Daphnia pulex: one gene and its partner. The protein of the gene in region 1 interacts with the protein of each later gene in a biochemical or structural test. Links are inferred from orthologs where the notes say so. Each region holds a gene or a part of one and is shown in the gene's direction. Other genes may lie near its edges.

Region 1 (4,513 bases):
ATAAATTGTACCAAATCGAATTGAGAACGTAGCTTTATGCCCAGTCCCGTATTCTATGTCTTCGTATTCGTCCTCCAAGGGCGGTGGTTGGGTTGTGGGTAATGGAGGTGGTTCAGCAGATGCAGCGTCGTTGGTAGCAGATGCAGATTTATTTTCGGAACTAGCCGGCGTAATTTGCTAAATAATTCCCACAGCATAGAAACAAAATTAATTTCAAAAAATTAACCAACACCAACTTCCCCCATAAAAACTGACACAAAATTGATTGCAAAGAATTGGTTTAGTTGTTTCGCATCGCAATCAAAAGTATAACTGATGCTGGTGGTCTGAAGTAGTAAATAATAGCGTTGACGTACCCTCATTTCATTTGACACTCACAGGAGACATGGGATAGATTCGACACGAGATAGCCAATTGCGGAAACGGATAAAACGATCCCCACACTCAAAAATCGACTGAAAAATCGTATATAAACTCCCGGAGAGATGGAAAAGGCGGACCGCACGCCGCACTGTGCGATGATGATGTCCGTTCGCCCCGCCGGAATAGACACCAAAGAGCAAAGCAGTGCGACAAACAGGATAGGAATGGGCCGCTGGAATTGTCGGCAATCTGCCAGCGATTCACACGGCACCCCCTGACAAAAAGCAAAATCCCAAAAATATCGTCGAGCTCGTCCTGCTGGTCGTATCTTCCCTGTACCGGGGCAGTTCTCCCCCGTGAGACACCGCCAGCGCGTCAGTGAGAATCAATCTAGACATGCATGAATAGATTTGGCCTTCATTGGAAGGCATTCGGAAGGTGTAGCCAACGGGATTTTAATGGTAAATAACATCATGTAAACACCCGTGCAAACAAAAAAAAAAAAGTTTTATCAACTGAGGTGTACTATAATAGCTAGTAATCGTTCAGTAGATTACAGTAAACTATCAGAAAATATGAAACAAAATAAATAAAGTTTTTACTAGATTAACGTATCGTAAATAATAACAAGTTTGTTTTTTTGCCTGAGCATGCAACTATTTCAATTGCCTAGAGTTGAATGAACTGAATACTTCCTTGTCAATTTACCGAATCAAAAACCCATCCGAGTTCTCGAGATGTAGTTTCGCAGGAACAAAATCAACACTCGCGCTTATTGTGTGTGCCGTGTTTGAATGCAGCTGGCCTTTCTCTCAGACGTCACGGATTTAAACTTTATATATTCCTCTGGAAGAAAGTCAAAAATAGCTTGGCATTCAAGGTTTCCAACTCTGACTGCCGGCGCGTCATTGCCACGGTTATAGGAAGCCACCTCCGTCGTCAGAGACTATTCTGCTACCAAATATTTATCAACAACGATATCCAAATCATTAGCTACACCTCATTTGTCCATGCAAAGCATTTCAAAAGTTTAATCTTGATTAAATACCTACCGGAATTATTCATCTTCTATATTTAATTCTTTGTTTACTCTTATCTTTACACTCTTGTAGCTAAATAAAATATGTTTTTTAAAAAAATAGGGAATCGATAGATTTGTACCATCTCGGTGATGGGAATAACGTAAATTTTCAACACATTCATTTCCGGTTGTTTTACCGGTCTTTGTTGTGTGTTTTTTTTTTTTTTTTTTTTTTAAATTCTCTTCACGCCCATATATCTTCCACCTTCGTAGGGCGTGTAGCATACCGCGTGCGTACTGTCTCTTTTACTGCTTTTCGCGGCTTTTGCACTTTTTGGTCCAGTGCACAGCGCACTGGCTTGTTTAGTTATTTATACTCTTATGGAATTTTCTTATAAATATATCATTGTTATCCCTGTGTTATATGTTCACCACTTCGTCAGATTTAATCATGTCTATCTGGCTCGGGAATCATTTTCATCACCTTGCCAGTTGGCCTTATTCGAAAATACAGCGCCATCTCTGATCCAGATATTTACATGGGAATATTGTTAGTCTAAGCTTCGCTAGATGGCTTCTTTTGTTTATAGACAATTCATTTCTGATTAAAATCCAAGAATCGTAATGATCACTACAATTATATCCATTTCTTAACAGCGGTAAAAGAAGTGACACTGCTTTATTGTGGTTTCTTAACATTCAAATTATCTAATAAATCCGAGTTGAAAGTGCGTTGAAATGGAAGACTATGAGGTATTAGAAAAAATTGGAGAAGGATCTTTTGGAAGAGTTTACAAAGCAAGACATAGACACTTGAGAGGTTTGGTTGCTCTCAAGTTTATTCCAAAAGTAAGTGTTATAAATAAATTCCTTTCCATTTCATTGTAACAAATTCTATACTTTGCGTTTGTAGATTGGTAGGACAGAATGTGAGCTGCAAAGCTTGAGACACGAGTTTGAAATCCAGAAAGGCTTGCGTCACCCAAACATTGTTCACATGCTTGGTGCCTTTGAGACATTTAAAGAGGTAATCAAGAAATTTCACAATTTATTTGTTGTAGTTTTGTGTGTTGATTATTAACGATTTATTTCTCCATCCAGCTAGTTGTTGTCACTGAGTATGTTGAAAGTGACTTGTACAAACTACTGGAAGATGGGACACTCTGTGAAGACAAAATGCGAATGGTTGCTTGCCAGTTGCTATCTGCTCTCTACTACCTTCATTCAGACAGGATATTACACCGTGACATCAAACCTCAGAATATACTGCTGACAAGTGATGGCATCATTAAACTTTGCGATTTTGGATTTGCAAGATCCATGGACCTCAACACTTATGTGCTAACATCTGTCAAAGGAACTCCATTGTACATGGCCCCAGAAATCATAGAGGAAAAGCCATACGATCATAATGCAGATTTATGGTACATTTTTTATTGCAGATATTGTCTCTTCAAAGATTTGTTGATTTACCCTTCATTTTTACAACAGGTCCTTAGGTTGCATTTTGTATGAGCTCCTTTTTGGATCGCCACCCTTTTGCACCACATCTTTATTGCAACTAATACGAAAAATTCGTTACGAAACCGTGCCTTGGCCCACAAATCTGAGCCCAGATTGTTTCAACCTCCTTCAAGGTCTCTTGGAGAAAGATCCTCGCCGCAGGCTAACTTGGCCTCACTTGCTCGAGCATCCTTTCCTGGAGAACAAAGTTCTGCTCCCACCTGAAAGACGTATGTTCAATACAATGTTCCTTTTCTGGTAAAGGTAACAAATTTCACTGATTCCCTCTTTACCTTCTCTCTAGTGAGACCTCAGCTTCCCTTAACGACTGCCTTGACGGCTTCGCAGGAACTGGCCAAAGAGATTCAAAGACAAGATCTCTCCCAAAAGATGCCGTTCAAAAACAAGTGAACATTGTCGTGCTGATTATTTTATCCAATCCTTTAACTGAAATTTATTGGTTGTTCTTTTACAAGGGTTTTCACGCGAGCCCTTCAGAGATTAGAAGAGTACGAACGACGCCGAAATAGCGCTCCAGTTTCTCAGCCCAAACAATTGCTGGCCCATCCCGCCGCCGCCTTCCACAGCACCCAATACAATCCGTACGTCACTTTAAACAGAATTTCTAAAAGTCGCGTTTTTTTTTAAATTTAAAACTTTATCATTTTGGTCGAATAGTGCATTTGGAGACTGGACGCGTCGCCAAAGTGCAGCCGTCGACACCCACCGTTTACCGCCTGCCATCGATCCACGGATCAGTGAGAGGCAGCAATTGCTGGAAAGAATTTTAGAAACGACCAGATGGCCGACCAAACAAAATGTGGCCGATTTCGATCCCCTCGATCCTGGCACCAACGCTCATCATTTCTCCCTCATTCAGCCAGCCGTGCCCAACCCGCCAAACAACCAGCCGACTGTCGAAGAAACTGTTTCACCTTCCATCGAGCCCAAAACGGAGGTAAAAATCGATGTGCAGTCCTATCATAGAAGAAAGGATTGACCAAATGATGATTGATTCATTCTAGGCCAAGGAAACGACAACTGGCGAAGTTGCGGCCGCCGCAACCGCCGCCGCCGGTTCGTTGCTGTCGAAATCTCTGGAAAACGACGAATGGGAAGAGTTTCTTGACGGAACGCTGGCCGACGCCATAGAGAATCCGCAGACGCTGGAGCAGAGGGATCTCGTCGCCGTTGTGGTGGCTCCGTTACGCAACGTCAACGCCAGCCCGAGCCTAGTCGAACGTATAGCGACTCTGCTGGCCCTGCCTTGGGCTGGAATCGACCGCGAGGAATCAGTCGACGAAGAATTAATCGTCCGCGCCTACGCAGACACCCGCGTCGTGCCCAATCTCTTGTACGCTTGCAAAGTAATGGTTCAGAGAAGATCTGGCGATAACCGTAGCACCGGGTAACTCCTCTTTTTGTTTATTTGTCACAGTCTAAATTCCATTTCTCATTCTCCCATGTGATTTCATTTCGTTTTCTATTTTTCTTTTTTTTTTGGGTTGTGCCCAAAAACAGGAGCATCGACAGTAAAAAGACGGACGCCGAATTGACGGCCGACGATCTGCAGTCCTTAGAAATGCTGCTGGGTTTGATGGCCCGTCTGGTGCACCTGAGTACGAC
Region 2 (2,863 bases), on another chromosome or scaffold:
AGTCGATGATATCTTATATTTTTTTAAACACTAAACATCTTTGTTGCTTCTTGGCAGTTGAAGGGAGCCTGAAAGTCGGAGGCGATGCGGAAGACGATGCATGTCGAGAAATGCGACATTCTGCTGAGATTTCAGAAAAACGACAACTCCTTACATGGAAAACGAACAAACAACTTAAAAAAGCTCACCAAACCCTTGAGGAGCTCAAACGGACAGTTTCTTTGAAGGTTAGCTTGCCGATCTGACGTTGATCTCCCCAGTAATTTTTAACTATCTTTATTATTATTTTCTTTTTAAAGGAGGAATATGTGGATTTTACTCGTGACAGCAAAGAAAACGAACAGACAAAAACTCACCAGGAGAAAATTCAGAAATCGCTTAAGCAGGATAGGGTCCCTCATCAATCCGATCTAAATATTCCACCCCGCCATAGGAAACAGTCAGAAGACAACAGTGATGAATGCAGCAGTCCCATCGAACAAGAAAGCGACAACGTCACTGACGGTGAACGAACAATCGGCCAACAGCGGGCTGAGATTATACGCTTTGAACACTGTTTAAAAAACATGGCAGAGTTGCTAGATCTAACTGCGCGGGCTCCTCGGAAGTAATTGCATTTTACATTTGTGAAATTCTATGGATCGTTTGACTCAACTAATGGTACTTTATTTATTCCCATTTTAGAGTTGGCGAACTGGAGCGAAGTCTGTCCATTATGAAGGACCAGCAATCGGTTCTAAAGGAGCAGCTTCGTCAAGAGAACGAGAAGAAAAAAGAGTTGAAACAAGAAATAGAAAAGGATCATGTGCGTATAGTTGAACTTGAACGTCAGCTACAGGAACAACGAGTTAGTTCCGAAATGCGTTTCCTTGAACTTTGCAGTGATAAAGGTAGATTTAAAAAAATAATAATAATCTAATATTCGCCCATATTATATAATAACACGGCAATTTTCTTTTGTTTGGACTCGCAGACGGCACACCTGGTGAATCTGAATTGGAGCACAAGTGGCGCTGGCTGGTAGCAGAGGAGGAACGTTTGGTCGAACTGCGTACAGCCATAACGTGGCGCTCCGAAGAACTAGAAGAGAAGCAGAGTATACTGGAAAAAAGGGAAATAGCCCTTGACAAATCGAAAAATCAAAGCGAAACCGAAAAGAGCCACACAAGTTCCATCGGCGATGTAGGAAGCAAGCGGAAAAAAGATATGGAGTCAAATGATAAAGTAATTGTTCTACTAATTACACATCTTGCGTAACAATTCTAACCCTTTTCTTCCATCAAATTTAGATCGTTCAAACATCAGGCAGTTCGTTTCTTAAATATAAGCTGTCCGACCTACAGTCGATATCCGGAAATGATAATCCCACTGACAAGGAGGCCATTCGCAAAGAGATTCGTAAAATGAGACACACGAGAGACTCTTTGGTTCAACAACGGCAAGAACTCGACGAAAGGCAGCACAGGGTAAAAGTCCAGTCCCGAATTGTAATATGATGAATGCCAAATTCTCATCCTGTTTTAATTTTCACGAAAAAATAGGGGCGCGACTTGGATGCCAGCGAGGAACGCCGCATGCTCGAGTTGGACGAAGCCATTGAAGCTGTTGACGCAGCGATCGAGTACAAGAATGAAGTTATTTGCAGTCGACATTACGAATTGAAAAGCTCGGTGAGTGTCGGAAGAAAAAAAAACACATTATCAAGTCACGAGCCACTTTACATGCTCATACATATTTATTTCCTTTGGCAGACGGAGGACGGATTGCTGTGTAGACTCATGAGTTTAACGCACACTGAAACACGCTCTCTCCTTTGTAAATATTTTCAAAAAGTGATTGATTTGCGGGAAGGCTCAAAGAAGATGGAACAGCAGTTTGCGGAATTGGAAGTACGACGGCTGATTTATTATATTTCATCTTTTTTTCCTTAAATTACATTTCCCTTCGTGATATTTTTGTTTTTCAGGCTCAATTCGAGGATCAAAGTCGTTACGTCCGCAAATTATCGGCGGCGTTGAAGCACACGCAGCTGGAAATGGAGAGGCGGCAGCCGTCGCACCAGCGACATTACGAGCCCAAAGCCACCACGGTTCAAAGGCAACTCGACCAGGATTCGAGCGTCTGCGGCGGCGGCGGCTACGACGGCGACGGGAAGTTGAGTCATCTGGACGACGAGTCCGAGTACCAAAACAGCCGCGACTTGCGAAGGCAGCTGCGTGACCTCTTGAGCGTCACGCCCAAACATCGAACGGGAGGCAATAGCAACACCGTCTCAGGTGTGGTGCCCGTTACTTCTGAGCTGGCGCCAAGTGCTTGCAGCAGTCGCACTCCTAGTCTGTTGGGTCTTCAAGCTGTCCAGGCCTTGCATCAGAAGATTACAGGGCTGCACCGCATGCGGGGTCGACAGACGGCGCCGGAAACGACGACGACCGTAACGCGAGAGAAGAACAAACTCATTATCAAACAGCAGACGGTCCAACCCGAAACGAGAGATACCAAACGCCGCCATCGCTGATTTATTTCGGTTTGCTTTGCTTTTTCAGCCAAATGTAATAACCATTTGTCCGTTGGTCTTCCAAATTTGTTTTCATGAATTTTGACTGGAAAACAGGTGCGAGTTTTCGACGATTAAACGTGAATGAAAATGTTGAATCTGATGGTTGACGAATCAATGGCGGGGGGAGAAAGCTTTGGTGCAGTTCATTGGCGTATCGGAATGTTTCGTCGGCGCACACACCTGCAACGTTCGGTGCCTCACGTTTGGATGTGGTAAACGGACAGTGACAGCTGACAAGGAGACCTGATGGGTTTCAAAGACAAGGTTCATCACTCACGGTGAGACTGTGCTGGTGGTTTGAAAAGA

Evidence for each region.
Region 2: the proteins of serine/threonine-protein kinase fused-like (region 1) and kinesin-like protein KIF7 form a complex in vitro, tested with the Drosophila melanogaster proteins (4 studies listed by BioGRID, with this or other methods). The link is inferred for Daphnia pulex from reciprocal best matches to the Drosophila melanogaster genes fu and cos.

The regions. Positions count from the first base shown.
Region 1 is NC_060025.1:6,992,328-6,996,840, reverse strand, and holds the start of serine/threonine-protein kinase fused-like, read left to right. Parts: upstream 1-1,602; 5' UTR 1,603-2,122; coding exon 2,123-2,233; intron 2,234-2,297; coding exon 2,298-2,411; intron 2,412-2,485; coding exon 2,486-2,808; intron 2,809-2,875; coding exon 2,876-3,117; intron 3,118-3,191; coding exon 3,192-3,294; intron 3,295-3,363; coding exon 3,364-3,489; intron 3,490-3,565; coding exon 3,566-3,845; intron 3,846-3,912; coding exon 3,913-4,295; intron 4,296-4,408; coding exon 4,409-4,513. Other genes in the region: E3 ubiquitin-protein ligase lubel-like, read right to left, coding at 12-177, 357-362. UniProt on the Drosophila melanogaster protein: Probable serine/threonine-protein kinase; maternally required for correct patterning in the posterior part of each embryonic metamere. May be involved in control of cell division during metamorphosis and ovarian development. May interact with costal-2.
Region 2 is NC_060028.1:3,201,561-3,204,423, forward strand, and holds part of kinesin-like protein KIF7, read left to right. Parts: intron 1-57; coding exon 58-227; intron 228-299; coding exon 300-607; intron 608-684; coding exon 685-890; intron 891-973; coding exon 974-1,224; intron 1,225-1,289; coding exon 1,290-1,466; intron 1,467-1,541; coding exon 1,542-1,670; intron 1,671-1,751; coding exon 1,752-1,889; intron 1,890-1,966; coding exon 1,967-2,515; 3' UTR 2,516-2,524; exon of another isoform or gene 2,525-2,649; intron 2,650-2,863. UniProt on the Drosophila melanogaster protein: Regulates cubitus interruptus (ci) processing by recruiting multiple kinases to promote its efficient phosphorylation.